Caenorhabditis elegans: one gene and its partners. The protein of the gene in region 2 interacts with the protein of the main gene of each other region in a biochemical or structural test. Each region holds a gene or a part of one and is shown on either strand. Other genes may lie near its edges.

Region 1 (5,083 bases), on a different chromosome or scaffold from region 2:
AATTCCGCCAATTTGCCGGAAATTTCAACTTTCGGCAATTTTCCGATTTGCCGGAAATTCCAAATTCTGGCGATTTGCCGAATTGCCGGAAATTCCAAATTCTGGCGATTTGCCGAATTGCCGGAAATTCCAAATTCTGCCGATTTGCCGGAAATGTTCAACTCTGCCAATTTCACCCGATTTGCCTGAAATCCTCAATTCCGCAAATTTGCCGGAAATTTCAACTTTCGGCAATTTTCCGATTTGCCGGAAACTCCAAATTCTGGCGATTTGCCGAATTGCCGGAAATTCCAAATTCTGGCGATTTGCCGAATTGCCGGAAATTCCAAATTCTGCCAATTTGTCGATCTGCCGGAAATTTTAAATTCCGGCAACTTTCCAATTTGCAGGAAATTTCAATTTCCGATTTTCCGGAAATTTCAAATTTCAGCAACTCGCTGATTTGCCGGAAATTTTAAATTCCGGCAATTTTCCAATTTGCCGGAAATTTTTTAATTCGGTTTGCCGAGCCATTTTTGCCCAAAAATTACAAAAATTTTTGAAAAAAGGCGGTGTCTAGAGTCGAAAATCGCCCGTTTTTTTAAATTCAAAAATTTTTTCTAATAAATGTATATTTATAAATTGTGGAATTTTCTATTTTCTGTGGAATTTTTTGGTCTAAAACTGAATAATTTCTCTAGAAAAGCTGAAAACGGGTGGTCCATCCGACTCCATCGGGCGATTTTCAAAGAAAAAATGTGGGTGCAAATGCGCTCTAATGCGAATTTCTTCCGCATTTTTTTTCGTTAAAACTATTCAAATTGCCGCCGAATCGCGCGGTCATTCTCAACGGAGCGCGATTTCCCGTACCATTTTCGGTTTTCACGTCGCCACCACCAGGTTGTTTGTCCTCCGAACCCATTTGCTTGGCCTGGAAAATTGTAAAAATTGATTTAAAAAATTCATGAGAAAATCCAGAAAGGGCCCAAAATTTTAGGGAATTTCTAGATAAAATCCCCTAAAAAATGAGCTTCTGACTGAAAAAATCCATATTTTTTTGCATTTTCAGGGCGTGCTAAGACCCAAATTATACTTTTCTGACCTCCTCATCAACCGCGGCGGGGGTGTGCTCGGCGGTGCCAGTGTAAGAGCAAAAGTGCACGAGAACTTCAAAATAATATGTATGTATTTTTATCGGAATTCTCTGTCTCTCGAATTTTGGATAGAACAACTCCTTATCAGTCGAGCGGAAAAAAAAAACGACGTGGCAGGAGCAGCAACAGCGCCCAGCGAAAAAAAAGTAGTGGCGGAGCAGTGTTCGATGATCAGAGGAGCAGAAATATTCGGGCGGTCTAGACGAGGTAACGGTGGTGATATGAACCCGAAAAAGGAAATGAGAAACATGTAGAGCTGAGAAAATTGAGAAGAAGAAGAAGAAAAATATAAATTCTCACGGTTGGACAACCCAGAGACGAGAAAATCGACAAGTTTTTGGCGGGAAAATTTGGCGATTTTCGAGGGAAAATCGATTTTTATATTTTTACAAGTGCTGTAAGAGTGTCTCATTTCGGCTTGATCTACGTTGATCTACAAAAAATGCGGGAAAAGAGACGCACACTTTTAAACTGATTTTGCATGGTTAAGAACGTGTTATTTTTTTGGGCAAAAAATTCCCGCAATTTCGTAGATCAACAAAACGTGATGGGACAGTCTGGCACCACGTGTTTTTATAGGACCGCAGAAAAAAGGTCCGGGGTGCCGCCGAAAAAATGTTCAATTTTCGGTCTGTTTTTTTTTTGAGCAAAATGAGCAAAATTTGAAAAAAAAAACCGGCAGGCCTGATTCAGGGGTGCGGGGTACTTGCCGGAATTGCCGGAAATAATATTTTGGAAGTGTTTTTGAAATTAGACGCCTAGACATGCATTTTTTTGACCCGACTACAGAAAGCCCCATTTTTTTCAGATTTTTGTCGTTTTTCCTGGGTTTTTTAAAGGAATTTCTAGGAATTTCTCTTCCCCGGAGCCTGAGCCTAGGCCTAAGCCTATGCTAAAGCCTAAGCCTAAGCCTAATCCGTCGCCTAAGCCTAAGCCTTAGGCTGAGACTAAGCCTCAGCTTAAGCCTATGTTTAAGCCTGAGCCTAAGCTTAAGGTTAAGCTTAAACCTATGCCTAAAAGCCTAATCCTGAATCTAAGTTTAAGCCTAAAAGCCCAAGCCTAAGCCTAAGCCTAAGCCTGAGCTTAAGCATAAGCCTAAGCCTAATTATAAGCCTAAAAGCCTAAGCCTAAAACTGCGATTTTCAAGCTCAACATGTTGTCAAACTCGAATTTTTAAAATTTTTAAGTTTGAATTTAATTCTTTAATTCTGATTTAATTCTGAATAAGGCTAAATTTTTAAAATACAGTTAGGTTTGAAAAAAAAGCTTAAAAAGTGGGAAAATCAACAAAAAATTGAAATTTCGGACGTTTTCAGTTCAATTTTAAGCGAATTTCGGTGAATTTTTCCGGAAAACCACTCCTGGTACGTGAAAATTCGATTTTTCTCAAATTTTTGTGATAAATCTGCTTTTTCGAAAAGTTTTTGTCTGAAAAATGTGCATTTTTCCAAAAATCTACGAATTTTGCGGTAGAGATACCGGGATTTCGCTAGAAATGTTCGATTTTTATGGATTTTTTTTTCAGCTTCACAAACTTACACACTGATCGACAAGCTCCACCTTATTCCACCCATTTGCATTCTTTTTCTTCGAGAAGCTTCCACGACGTTGAGCCTCGACAACCGTATCGGGATCCTGGAGAGAATTGATTTTTAACGAATTTTTAATGTGAAAATTGTAAAAATTAGTTTTTTAATTCAAAATTCCTCGAATTAACCTCAGTACTGGGGGCCATCATGCCGCCGTTTTCGTTGTTTTTGATTTCCTGTTGAATTTGGAGAGTTGCGTTGAAAATTGCTTGACGCGGGGGCTCTTGATGCTCCAAATAGTGTTGATTATTTAGAAGATGACGTGGCGAGCCTCCTGGCACATTCTCTGCAAAAAAAATCAATAGATTTGAAGGATATTAGGCAGAAAAATGAGAAGAAAATCTTTAAATTTAAATTTAAAATTCAAAGAATAGAGTTCGTGGTGAGACCCATCGCAAGAATTACTGCATGTTCCTTTAAAACTACAGTAAGGCTCGATTAATTTTAAAAACTTTTTGAATGAGAATTCGCCAATTTTTCAGTGAAAATCAGTAAAAAATTGGGAACTGTTAAATATAAAAATACATGACTTTTTCAATTTGAAAGTTTGGAGCCAAAAATTTTCAAATAACGGCGCAGAGAAATTAATTGTCGGGTGGGTCTCGGCACGATCGTGGTGAGACCCGCTAAAAACATGGAGAACAAATATTTTGAGTTTTCCAGAAAAAACAACGACAAAAAAGGAGTCAAGGCTTGGGTGGTTTTTTTTTTTGAAAAACCGTGCACAATTTTCAGTACTCGACTGATAGCACATATACATAGGAGAGAAGAACATCTAACCCCCTTGGCGATGCGAAAATAGCATACGAGACAGAGAGACGCCGTACATTGGTGGCGTAACTGATAAAAAACTGATAATAAGTCTCAAAACCACCGCGGGCACTAGGCGCCAGCGCCGAGAAAAAGTAAGAAAAAAATAAAAATGTTGAGAAGAGGGGGAATAGTACTGTATCTATAGCCACCGGTCTTTTTTTTTGGAATTTTTTCGTTTTCGCGAACGGAAATTCGCAAAAAAAGGGAAATTGAAAAAGTAACCAGTGAAAGTGATTGGGAGGATGATATATATTGATAAGGGAGACCGGTGGAACGTGAGAATTTTGAATTCCCGCGCTGGACTACGGTAGGAAGGCGAAATTGGGATTTTTTGAAAAACTCTGGAATTTTCGAGTAAATTTCGTCTAAAAATGGAAAAAAATGTTGCGAAAATATTCTAAATTTTCTTTGAGGCGACTGTAGTTTTTTTTATTATTCGCCAAATTTTGAAATTTAATGCAAAAAGGTGTGCGCCTTTAAAGAATACGGTAGTTTCATTTTTTTTTGGAGTTTTTTTTTTGCCCAGTGTTTATTGTTAGTTTTTAAATAAATAAATAATACATTTTCAAAAATTGATAATAAATACCGGAACAACGAAAGTTTCAAAGTACAGTAATTCTTAAAGGCGCAAAACCTTTTGGCATTCAAGAAAAAAATTTTCGTGCCAAGACCGAGTACCGTATTTCTCGCGGAAAAAAATCGCTAATAATCGCGTTTGTGTGATATTTTTCCGCTTTTAACATTCAAATCAGGTGTGGGCGGAAAACAATTTTTTATCGGCAAACGGCCAATTGGCATTTTGCAAAATGAAAATTCCGGCAAATCGGCAAACCGGCAATTTTTTCGATTTGCCGGAAATTTTTTGAGCAAATTCTATGAAAATATCTAAAGAAAACGGGGAAAAACTTCAAAAAGGCACAGTTTTAAGAGTTTCCGGCAAATTGATATCCGGCAAATCGGCAATTGCCGGATATGAGAAATTCCTGCAAATCGGCAATTTTTTCGATTTGCCGGAAATTTTTTGAAAATTGTAAGCAAACTCTATGAAAATATCTAAAGAAAACGGGAAAAAAATTCAAAAAGGCACAGTCTTACGAGTTTCCGTCTTATAAAAAATCTGTCTAAAAATTTTCGGCAAATTGATATCCGGCAAACGGCAAATCGGCAATTTGGAGAAATTGAAAATTTCCGGCAAATCGGCAAGGTTTGCCGATTTGCCGTTTCCGAACGGCAATTAGTTTTTTTTTTTAATTTTTGAGTATTTAGTTTTTAGGTTAAATTCGACTAAAAAATCTTAGAATGTTTTTTTTTCCAATTCAACATGAAAATTGCTTTTTTTTAAAAATTAATTTCGGAGAAAAGAAGCAGAAAAAAAATTTTATCCACAAAAATTCGATTTTTACGAAATTTTCGAGATTAGAGGTACCAGTTCCGAAAACGAAAGTGTGAGTGGCCTTCGGGATTAATGTTTTCTCAGGCGGATGCTTACAAGTTTGTCCTTGACAAGGTATTTTTCCTTTTCTGAACCATTTTCTGTTTTCAAAACAA
Region 2 (4,697 bases):
AATTACGGTAAGTCAATCAGCTGAAAAAGAAGTTACCTTAATAATTCTAATTTTTACAGAAAGATGCATTGATTGTTTCCTGTGATTTTATCAGCGATGCCAGTCTCATTCCACTTGTTGATTTCTTCCGAGCTACAAATTCCACGCTTGTCGCTCTTATTGCAGATACGTGTGTCAATGCTCCGGCTCCGGGATCAAAATCGAAAAAACCTAAAGGTATTATTTATTTCAACCTTCCTCTAATTTATCAAAATATTAATTTACAGCCACCGATGTAATGGCAATAGTAGAATCGACAGGTCAACTTGCATTCCTTTGCGGAGATGATGATTTTGATGCTCCATTGGTTATGGAGAAAAGTTTGAAAATATTCCCATCGATCAAATTAACTTCAAAGTACAATGATTGTCATGTTTATGCTATACGTCATAAAGTTCTTCTTAATCTGTCAAAATCAAAGTAAGTGTTTCTTTGAATGTGTTTTACTCTAAATGTATAATTTCTAGACACATTTCATCATTCAAAGCCGATTTTGTGCCTCTTCTGATTGATAAACAATTTGAACCGGATTCTGATATCAAATGCTTTGCATATCGTCTTCCTCATGAAAATGGATTTGTAACTGCACATGCGAATACTCTTGGCTCTTATTTCGAAGTGAATAAAGCTGTAAGTGCTAATAATGCATTATCATATAGCCTTTAAATTGTTTTTTTAGATTCAAAAATCTTTTACTCGATTGATGGAATATCGCGGAAATGGGAAGAATTTCAACTACAAAACTGATAAAATTGCTGCCCACGAGAGTCGGATCGAAGAAAGCGCAGAGGTAATACTTGTTCAAAAATAGTTAGGGAACATTTCCATTCAGATTGACAAGGATTCAGTTATCAAACGGTCTTTCATCTCGGATAATTGTCGGATTGGTGAAAAAACAAAGCTAAAAGAGAGTATCATTGCCAAAGGCGTTGTCATTGGAAATGGGTTAGTTTTGGGATTTTCGTAGCGCGAGAAGTTTCGGATGAGCTTTCGGAAAAGATATTTTCTTAATAAATAGACAAACATATGAAAACTTTCGATTTAAGAATTCTTCTGTTATCACAATTACTGATTTCTTGAATTAAAACTTGAATTTATACTTTTCCATTCCAGTGCCTCCATAAGCAACTCTATTATTTGTGATGGAGTAGAAATCGGAGAGAATGCTGACGTCACCAATTGCATTGTTGCTAAGGATCAGAAGGTACCTGCTAAAGGTTAGTTGTTTTCATTAGTGTTGTTTTTTTTTTAATTTCTCGTGTTTCTTTATAAATCAACGATTTTCAGGCAAAGTTCAAAACGAGGTAGTAGAAGATGGAGAAGACGAAGAATGGACCGATGATTAACAATCTTGGAATTTTAGGAATAATTGGAGCCTTTTTGTGTTTTCTCTTTTTTTTACGCGGTTGTTTTATTTTTGTTTTCTGATAAATTTATTGAAGATTAAGTTTTTTTGAAATTTTCGTTTTCCTCTATCTTTCACTCCAATGATAGGTTCTCTAACCCTACAAATTATTTTGAGTAATATTTTTATTTACGATATTATTTTACTAACAGATAATAATGGAACAATGAAATTGAAATACAATAAACTTCTCGTTTCGGTGGTGATTGTCACCTTTGTAACATTCGGGTTGCTCTTAGCGGAATGTTTTGGAAAATCAATTGATTATCAAGAAAAATCAATATTTCCATCGTTTGTCAGCCAGGGATTCTTCGAAACTCGTACGAACAATGAAGAATACATTATCGAGGTATAACCTTTTCAATTTGGAATTCAGATACTGAAAGTTTTTAAAATTTTAAAATGGCTATTTGAATTAGATGACAAGGTCTAAATATTTTTAACTTTAAGCTAAGTATGACATGATTTTGTGAACAAACAAATGTTTTTAAATTTTCAAACTATATAAATATAAATTTTCTAGAAAATCGCTCAAACCCAGGAGAATGGAGTAGATATGCGATCAACGTTACATTTCACTCAACATGGATACTTACTGAACAACATTTCAAATTTGAAAATTAAATTTCGCCAAAAGTGAGTTTATTTCATTCGTACTCTTCCATAAAACGTCCAACATATTTTAGAACATACACACTCAATGATGTCTGCTTTAAACCACATATTACAATATTCCAACAATCCTCTTCATCCGATCAAAACGAATATCCACATTATATCCAGGTTTTCTTGACTTTTAGAAAATTAAAATTTCATTAAAATAGTAATTTCAGAGGCTTCTTCTTGAAATGCAACGTCTGTCACCATGTCTTATCGTGACACCTCTAAACTGTTTCTATGATATCTACCGTATTCATGGTGAAATCAGTAATTGGAATAAGAATACCGACTTTTTGAATCGAAGACTTAGAAATTCTTATATTGAAGCTATTGGAGAAAATGATGAGAGGCCGTATGTGAAATCAAATTGTAATAAATCAAAATAAAAATATGTTAAAAAAAAAACAAATAAATATGTATTTAGATGGACCTAGCCTGATCAAAAGTTGGGCCGATCACATGTTTGATTTACCATCGAAGTCATTCACCAACTCAACTAAAGATGCATTATTTCAGAAGATTAAGCTTTGGCTTTTGGTAGGAATACATTTAATTATAATCTTCTTTTTTCAACAACCAACAAAATCTTCAGAGCATAGAACCACGCCAAAAAACATGTGCAGCTTCAATTCATTCCTGTGACACACCTCTGGACTCTGAACACTACTTCAATATATGTACAGATATGCAGTCTGTTGATAATTTCGCTGAAAAGAAGACAAAGGTATTAATATATGCATAACCACGCAATTACTGAAAAAAAAAAGAAAAATTGCAGTTCAAATTAGAAGATGTCGATGAAGAATTCGCAATGAATCTCGATTGTGTGGATGATCAAGAACAGTTCATTGAATGGATGCAGGAGTTGGAGATCAGAAAAATGTATTCTCATGTAACTGAAAAGCCAGATTATCCAAATGTTGTAAATCAAACATGCGATAAGATTTTTCATGATTTGAATAGCACTGGAATTGAATTTTTCGACGGATCGAGAAGCTTCAGTAGTACAAAATCTCAATTTGATACAATGCAAACGGAAATTGTCCTGTTAACTCCTGAAATGCTCTTATCAGCTATGCAACATTCAGACTTTGTGAATGGTTTTGAATCAATTTGGACTATTGAAAAAGCTGAAGAACTTATTCATGAATTCCGATTAGCCTTGAAAGAAGAAACTGAGAAGTTCAAAGAGAATAGAATGAGCAAAATGATAAGAGTTACATCACGAGTTTTGGATAATACTGTAACTACGAAACTTCAATCATTTTCGGAGAAACAAACAATACATTTTGTGGTTAATGTACATTCATTAATTGTGATCTTATTCACAATCTTCGTATGGTCTGGTGCTCCTCTCAGATCAGCTTTCATGTTTTTTGTTCGAGATGCTCTCACGTGTTTACTTTTCTGTTTTGTCTGCAGTACCGATGGAGTTATCGTTTTGGATACGGAATTAATAGTAAGCTTATAAATGAAATAATAGTTAAATGTATAAAGATATATTTCAGAAGTATATAATTGTCCTTACATTGGCTAATCTCTACTTCACAACTCGTTCTTCATTCTGTACTGAACGACTATCCCGATGTATTCAACGAGAAAAACGGTTTCCCATAAACTCAAATTTTGCTTCTCTTATTACAGGTATGCCTTAAAATTTTTTTGTATTTTTTTAAATTTAAAATTTGATATCTAATTTCAGTTGACACAATGACTGATTCTCGTCAAATACAATACTTCCTTAGTACTGTAACAAAGTATCAAGCAGCCCAAGACTCATATTCAAATGAATTATTTGAAAGGTTCCCGAAGAATTGGGGTTGCACATCAATTCTGATATTTCCAATCGTTTTCGTCTATTGGTATTTCATTGATTCTAATTTTGACAAGATTTGTGTTTCTGTTCTACCATCATTTTGTTTGGCTGCTGGTGAAGAGCTTTTTGCTAAGAATATGTTTTGGAAAGGTATTTAAAAATTAAGGTTCGAGATTTTAAAACTGAAAATGCTATTTTTAGAGCGTGAAGCAATGCAAGCAAAGCAACGACTGGAAAATGAAGAACAGGCTGAAAGTATTACTGGAAGCTCCCTTGAAAAACTGTTTGCTGGTAATAAACCGGTTTCTAACACAGAGTGAGTGATCAGAATTGCCATGAAATTACCGAAAAAATCTAAATTTTTAATATTTTCAGCAAAGCTAATATTGTCAAAAAATCAAGCATCATCAGAAATCAAAAACCTTGTCTCCAAGATCTTTCACCCGGTACCTACGATGTTTCGAATTTCATGGTAAACCATTGTACAAGAAACATATTCATTCTCGTAGTTAAATTAATTACAGAAGTATCCACATCAAGCATCCAGAATATTCCGGGAAAAGATCATTGGATTATATCTTAGGATTCTGAAATTGAGAACAGTAGGTTTTCTTAATTGCGAAATCTTTTGAATGTATTTTTTCCAGCTCGGTGTGATTTTATGCATTCCTGCGATTCTTCTAATTGTGATATCAATTGGATTGCTGTTTATTCCAGTTAAAAGAGAAACACTTCATACAGAGTATGGTCTAATTTTTAGTATAAAAATATAATTGT
Region 3 (7,616 bases), on a different chromosome or scaffold from region 2:
AAAAGTACTTAAATTCTATGGCTTGAACATTGAAAATTGCTTTTAAGAACATCGGCATTTCTTGAGTTAATTGTTTTCTTAACTTTATTCTTATATTGTATTCTAAACTTAAGTTAGCAGAATCCATACTTCAAACTCGGATCACGCCTGAACAGTTTTGGTAACTTGTGTTGATTTACAAAAAATCTAAACTTATATAGTTTGAATTCCACCAAGTACAAGTTTATGATGAAACCCAACACATGTGTTAACACATAAAATTTAAAAAAAAACCTTAATGGCCATTTTATCAATTTCGAATGAATTGATTGATTTTTCCTTGCTAGCTCTAAAGCATTATTCAGTTTAAAATAACAAGCAGAATATGAGAAACAACATTACATTTAGTTTATTAATCTTTCAAAACGGATAAGAAATAAAGTTTTGCTCGTTTTGCAGTTTGAATAACTAAAATTACAAATAAAATTTAGAATTTGTTAGAAAGCAGAGAATTGAAAAAAAATTGATAAAATTTGTAGTTCGAAAATCACTTTCTTATCATTTTTTGTTGATTATGTCGTATGGGTTCTGTGCGTTGATAAAACAATTTATTCAATAAAAAAGATCGTAGAAAGTACTTGAATATTCATATTTGACAACTTTAGGAGAAACCAACAAGAGAAGATATATTTTTTATGAAAAAAAAAATAAATAAAATCAGGACCGCACCGTAGTGCGCCTTCATGACATCTGAGCGCATCCGAAAACATTCTTGAAGAGAATGTTAAGAAGAAATCAATAAGAATAGGACATTTCAAAAAATTCTATTAAAAATATATACAACAATATGACAAGTTGCGTATCGAAAATTTTCTTCAACATAAGGAGAACACAAGATTAAAAATATAACTCAAAGTGAGTAAAGCTCAAAGCTTTGATTAAGAGGTAGACATAGAGGTGTTACAAAAAATAAAATAAAAAGGTTTAGAAAGAAAAGAAAAAATTGGACCACTCATGATGGAGAGTGCCATAATGACAACGGCGGATTAGGGATGTTTTAGGCTAATGAGCCCAGATTCAGACTCCTCGGAAAGTTCGCTTTTGGATAAACGTTGCATTGCAGTATTCTTCGAATTGGAGCACTTCAATTTTGATACCATCTTTACGGAGGCTCCGGCATTTCTCAAAACACTGAAAAATAAATTTGTTTTATGACACACTTGATTAACTCGAATTGAACGATTAGAATATCGAATGAGATATCTTTGAAAAACGTGGTTCCTGGACTGACGCACTGCTCCAAAAATGTATCTCAACCTAGGCGAACAATTTTTGGGGTGATATCTATCCACTATCGGATTTTCCGCTTGCCAATTGAATTTTTTTTTTAATTTTCTCCGTTTTAGGATGAATTTTATAGACGAGGGAATGGATGGGACGAACTCCAAAATTGTTTGCCTGGACCAAGAAAAAGTCTGCAAATCGCAGCCGTTTTTACAGAGTTGGAGATAATTTAATATTTTTAAACTTGGCTTTGGTCAACTAGGGATCCTTTCTTTAAAACTGGAAAAATTAGGACTACGTACTGAAATAGGCAGGAGCTGAAAAAACCATAAGACAGATTGCACCGAATATTTTCAATTTACCCGTTTGTCTAACTAGAATAGGCGAACTGAAATTCTGTGTTAACAAAAACTCACTTTATACAGTACATTATCCAGAAGCGAGCAACTTTTGATGCTGTCCAGACGTGTGGCAGCGTCGATGGAAGGGCTGGTCATGAGGTTCTTGCAACGATTCTCACATCTTCTTCCAGAATCGTTTTGGTCGTTGCCAAACACGGAGCAGCACACGGAGTCTGAATAAAGACAATATGAGATTAGGGCGTGGGATGGGCAAATGGGCGGGGCAATCAGAGAGGCGGAGTCAAAAGAGACAGGTGTTGGCATGTTTTACGTGTGAAGAGGCAAATAATAGATCGATAATTAAGACAATTTGTCCCTCAAAAATAACGATTTCTTTTGGGAAAGTCTCTTCTGGGAAATCGTAAAATTATAGCAATTCTGTGAGTCAAATGCATTTGTAAGTTTTTCTATAAACCTCATATTATCAATAAAATTAGTGAATATTCACAACTTTACAGAAAGTAGAAATTTCTCGAATTTCAGATTTTCAAATTAATTTATATTAAGACAATTTCTGCTCAGGGGAACGCACCTAAATAAACCAATTAAGTTCTGTACTTTTTGGATTTAATCACGCGTGCATTTAGTTTAGTAAGATTACTGTATTTTCTCTAATAGTATTGCACCACATTATTTTAATTGAAAGCTTTATATCTCACTATCAACTCATTTTAAAGATATCAATAAATTTTAACTGCAAGCAATTGAAAAAGAAATAATAGTTTCTCAATTGGCAATATTTGAATAGAACAAACGCTAACTAAAATATAAGCTGGTAAAATTGAACAATAAGGTCTAATACAATAACGGGGAATACGGTATACATTATTTGAGCACTGATATCTACCTTCATTATGAAGTTTCACTTTATCAGCTATTCGAGAAAAATTTGAAAACCTCAGATGTAGCTGAAGCTATGATATTTGTAGTCTCAAAAAACATTGTTCCCGTCAAAACAGCTATGTTTGCTCTACGCAATCTAGTTTCTCCTGGATGGACCTAATCGACGCGTTTTTCATCTCATTTGATCTACCACTCTCTTACATTATATCTCGTCTACGGTATCTCTCATTTACCGTAGTCTCTCATTTCCCATATACTCTTTTGTTGCAACTCGACACACATGACGGTATTGCGGACTCTTTTATGACGACTGTAGATCGTAATTCCTATACCGTATGGCAGATCTAATAAGATGAAGGACCAAGCACACCTGGATTGGGAGGTGTAATGAGGAATAGAAAAGCAAACTGTACAGGGGTGAGAACAAGAAAATACTTATTCAATATTTATTAGCTGATGCCGTGCATTCTGATATATTTGTAAATAAAACAGATTGCTCCCGGCGGCACTTAAATATTTTCTTTCTAACGAAAAATGCAAGATGTCAAAAGAAAAAAAGCAACTGCTCTGCTCCTGTAGGACAATTGTTGCAGGGGAGTCTCCCATCTAATCAATACACCTAACAAAAGAGTGAGTCAACTGATAAAAGGATAAACATGCAAAGATATGGTATCAGTGCTCGCAGTAGAACACTCTTTTATCTTGGAGAGATAACACGAGAAAGATCAAAACAAATTATGAACATTATCAGAGAATTCAAAGACATTGTTATCATAATTTTTATGTTTTCATAAATCTATTAAATGATCAAATGAGTAGGCGAAATTAATTTTTTTTTAACATTGTAGAGAACAAGTATTGAAAAATATTAGAGCCAAATTCAATACTGTAAAGTTTTTTTTTGGCCATGAATATCTCAAAAACAAATAAAGAAGCCTATTTTAAAACTTATGTTAAAACGTAGCCCTAATAGAATTCTGAACGAAAAACGTAACTTTTTGAGGCTAAAAAATATATTTCTAAATAGTTTGAGGGTTTGAAGAATATCTACTCTCGAAACATGATGACAGGTGGTACGCAAGACACAAGGGTCCGTCTATTCTCCCTGCGCAATACCAATTGCCTGCACAACCCTAGGACAATTGAACGGACCACCTAGAACAAGTTGCAACTTTAGAGTTGAATATCTCAAAAACTGAGCCTGAAACATAATCAAAAAGTTTTTCTAACAAATAGAGCATGTCAAATTCTTTTAGAAAACTTGGTTGTTACATTACCAAAAATTTTTTGTAGATGCTTTAGGTGTTGTCAAAGTGATCCCTATTTAGTTGAACAAGGTTCCAATGTTATTGAGGGAAATATTACAATTCGAAATGGAAGAGGAAACTATTTACAGGAAATCAAACATTATTATAGATATGAGAAAATGTTTAAATGCTAGTTGATAAGTGTTATCAATAACTGGAAATGTAGTATGTTGAAGTGAAATCAAATCAGGAAACTATAGAGAGCTTAAGTTGCTTCAAAGACACGGTATCCTTGACATTTATCACAAATTTACTGATATCAGTAAGCTTCAAATTGTTAAAAGCCTGACCGACTTTGAATATATCGATCGAGCGTATGGTGGCGACTGCCCAATGCCCGAAGCCTTGTACCTCTCTGCGCACACATACGCACTATCTTCCTCCTCTTACCATTGTCTACGTCATCGTACTGCATTTTTTCTAATTTCTAAAATATCGAAAAATGTTTGAACAATTTTTTTACTATATGATAACATCTCGTTCTGCTGTAACTCGGATTATGGAAATGCCCAACATTTGCTTTCGAACTTAGCGGTGAAACTTCAATTTCCAGTTTAATTTCACATTGGCAGAAACTTTGTTTCAAAATTGGTAAAGTATTCGTTTTATAATTTAAAGTGAAAAAATAATAGCCCTTATGAATTATTCGAATAATCATTCTATCATAGTTATAATTGATTTCAGCAAGAGAGAGCGCGAACATTCTAAATTGGGGTTAGTTTGAAGACGTTTTACGTGTTATTAAATAATTTTTCAAATGATAATAAATACTCAGAAACAAAGACTTTAATTTTATCTTTGTTTTGGTATACTTTTTAGTATAGGTTGCAGGCTCAGTTTTTGTGATATAACTCCTCAAATTCAGATATTCTTGAAGTCTTGGGCGCTTTCTTCAAATATTTCTCCCATACATTGCATGCCATTTTTAAATTTCAAATAGTTAAAGATAAGTAGTAATAATAATCTTACTCATGAAAAATTTCAAACGCTCTCTCTTTACTTACGTTCTAACTATTATTTTGAAATCAGAGAAGCCTCTGATGATTTACTTTGATTTTTTTCAAAACAATTTGAGGCAAGAATATTAAAAAAAAAATGTTCAAAATTATTGAAAATTTCCAAAGAGTATACGAATGAAAGAGGCAGAAAAGATATTGTGACTTTTCAATGCGTGTGGTCTTTCTGCCTCCGGCCAATCAATGACCTCACGGGCGGGCGCTATGCCACCGGTTTCTCGATTTTCCTCAAGTTAAAACTAACTTGTACATACCGTATTAGTCATTTCCTATATTTCTTAAGAATAAACAAAACTTGATATCTTGGCTTGTGAGGAGAATTTTACCTGAAAAAAAAACGCTCACCATCCAAGTTAATCTTTTTCTTTGGTTCTTTTGCAAACAACACATTTTGAAGACATTTGTAGACATATCCGGGTAGCTTCGGATCCCTGTCATAACCACATCGAATTGGGGTTCTAAATTATACCGATTATCGCATTGTTCGTGCTCGTAAAAGCGGTTCACCCAAATTTCATAATTTCAATGCAACATTCTTGACGGTTTCTTGTACAGCATTTCTCAGCTGCATCTTTGATAAGTTCCTTTGTTAATGTAGTTTCCGTATAGCCAAATGATCCGAGAAACACAAAAATTGGGAGATATCTCATAATGCAACGTAAGGAAAGGGAGGAGATTTACTACTGTAGGTGGACAAGATGCGCTGAGAAAATAGAAGCAGAAGGTAGGAGGAATATGAGCAAGAGACGACTGGTGGGTTCAGTCAGGAGATAGGCATCCCTGCAGTGTCATTTGGTTGAATGATGGATATAGAACCTGAAGAGACTTAGATACTCAAAGAAAGTTAGACAAAGAAGGTACATACAGTGCTCATGTATGCTCCTAAGATATAATCTACTCTCAGAAGCTGAAGAACTGGTCCGTTGTTTCTGCTTAATATATAAGAAACTAGGCAAAACTATACTAGAAACTAATTAGTTCATGTTTGAAACATATCTGCTCGTCAGTGACGTCACTCTCAACAATCTCATTAAATCCTGTAAATACAACTCCATTTTTTAAAAGATATGAAAAAATGTATAATTTAAGTGTTGATTTCACAGAATATGATTATTTCTTTGAAAATATTGAATTGATTGAGAGCACCTCTCAATCTTAAATTATGTTTTTTAGAAGAAACTTTCATAAAACCCCAGTAAATGTTTCGAAGAGCCCCTCGCCGAACAATTTCCAATTAATAGATATCTTTATTTTCGATCACTATGTTCCAATTTTGTGCCTTGTCAACTTTACTTTCATATCTATTTTCAAGGTTGAGGATTAATGCCGTAGATGATTGATACAATAGTTTTACAAAATAAAGTTTATCAAATTATACTTTATCGAGCATACTGTAACCGTTCTATATGTTCCAATTGACTTCATTTCGTTTCAAACATGGTATGTTCCACCTTTGACGGTAATTGATATGATAAGGATTGCCAAATTTGCGAATATCCTGCATAACAATTTGTTAATTGTCAGATTGAACTACCAAAATACTCATGAGACAAGAGATCAAAAGAGCAAGATTGTAGTAATGATAGAACGAATAACAAAATAATCTTCTTCAGTTTTAATGTTCCTTTAAGGTTCAGATTGAATACTCTTTAGTAACTCTTTAGAGTAATATCTCTTAATAACTCTTAGAACTCTTTAGAATAACTCTTTAAAGTATTGTTCTATATCATTTTAAGAAATGAGTTGTATTCTATGGCAGAAACGTACCGAATCGTGAATTGGTTCACTTTACTTTTTTAGGTCTATCTAAGATTATCAATTTACTTAAATTTGACTATTTATTCGTCTATACTTTTCAGCTGAAAGTTTCAGATCAGAAACTGATTGAACATGCAAAGATCTGTCAAAGAAAACAATGTATTAAATTAATTTACAGTTTCAAAACATATTTTTATCAAATTGATATTTCATTTTTTAGTCAAATACAATTCCTTTATCTTACTTCGTTGTCTTCCTATCTTCTCACAACTTACCTCATTCTAGACAACACTCGATATCCCGAAGGGCCATTATATTGCCTGTCTCACAGTAACTGAGTGTCTGCAATTGTGAGCAAATGCTATTGCATGTGCGTGATTCACTAAAATAGCATAGGAGATTGAGTGACTTAGAGATCGAATGCGCGGGAAAGAAGATCAAACGAGTAGGCGGTGTGGACAGATGACGTGGGTCTACAAGTGTAGCTACAACCGAGCACAATAAAGGCAATTCAGGGAAAATAAGGATATATAATGGTGTTGAGCTCCGTTGATGCAAATATATATTGCTACATTGAATTTTATTTTCCTGGCCCAAAAATAACTATCTGTTCATCAATATAATTAAGAATTGGAATCAAAAATTACTTGGAAAAAATATATTTAGTGTTTGAAATTTCACGATGACTATGTAGTAATGAAAATGAGAAACTTGTTAATTTTTCAGATACAATGGAAAATAATAGTAAGAAAAAATATTGCAACTGTGAATTAGATACATTCAACATATTTTTTAATCAAATTTATTACGAATTTGCGAACTAGAAATTCTCACGTTTCAAAAATTTTCAATAGAGTAATCTCAAAGAGTCATGCGCCTTTAAAACCAAGTAATACAAGCAAACTCATTTCTCTGAATGTTTTGCCATTTTGATTTGATTTTTTTAAATGTTGTAATTTCTTGATATCCAATATTTCAATTCAAATATTCAACTGCAAGGTTTTCATTTCTAGAAATATCTATTCAAA

What was found.
Region 1: the proteins of tra-2 (region 2) and tra-1 interact in far-western blotting, tested with the Caenorhabditis elegans proteins (one study listed by BioGRID).
Region 3: the proteins of tra-2 (region 2) and her-1 form a complex in vitro, tested with the Caenorhabditis elegans proteins (one study listed by BioGRID).

The regions. Positions count from the first base shown.
Region 1 is NC_003281.10:11,192,193-11,197,275, forward strand, and holds the start of tra-1 (Sex-determining transformer protein 1), read right to left. Parts: upstream 3,010-5,083; 5' UTR 2,872-3,009; coding exon 2,851-2,871; intron 2,769-2,850; coding exon 2,673-2,768; intron 911-2,672; coding exon 850-910; intron 1-849. UniProt on the Caenorhabditis elegans protein: Plays a major role in controlling sexual phenotype. Terminal global regulator in a well-characterized cascade of sex-determining genes. Promotes female development. Interacts with tra-2 to promote spermatogenesis.
Region 2 is NC_003280.10:6,962,587-6,967,283, reverse strand, and holds the start of tra-2 (Sex-determining transformer protein 2), read left to right. Parts: upstream 1-1,610; coding exon 1,611-1,793; intron 1,794-1,967; coding exon 1,968-2,080; intron 2,081-2,130; coding exon 2,131-2,227; intron 2,228-2,277; coding exon 2,278-2,473; intron 2,474-2,528; coding exon 2,529-2,641; intron 2,642-2,696; coding exon 2,697-2,828; intron 2,829-2,882; coding exon 2,883-3,563; intron 3,564-3,612; coding exon 3,613-3,748; intron 3,749-3,806; coding exon 3,807-4,070; intron 4,071-4,121; coding exon 4,122-4,236; intron 4,237-4,295; coding exon 4,296-4,392; intron 4,393-4,444; coding exon 4,445-4,522; intron 4,523-4,567; coding exon 4,568-4,662; intron 4,663-4,697. Other genes in the region: eif-2Bgamma (Translation initiation factor eIF2B subunit gamma), read left to right, coding at 1-7, 60-216, 267-459, 507-669, 719-829, 872-984, 1,153-1,256, 1,327-1,385. UniProt on the Caenorhabditis elegans protein: Plays a major role in controlling sexual cell fates.
Region 3 is NC_003283.11:9,694,993-9,702,608, reverse strand, and holds her-1 (Protein her-1), read right to left. Parts: upstream 5,595-7,616; 5' UTR 5,481-5,594; coding exon 5,338-5,480; intron 5,289-5,337; coding exon 5,176-5,288; intron 1,840-5,175; exon of another isoform or gene 1,838-1,839; coding exon 1,680-1,837; intron 1,171-1,679; coding exon 1,057-1,170; 3' UTR 574-1,056; downstream 1-573. UniProt on the Caenorhabditis elegans protein: Dictates male development. Probably plays a direct role in cell signaling during C.elegans sex determination. Inhibits the function of tra-2a.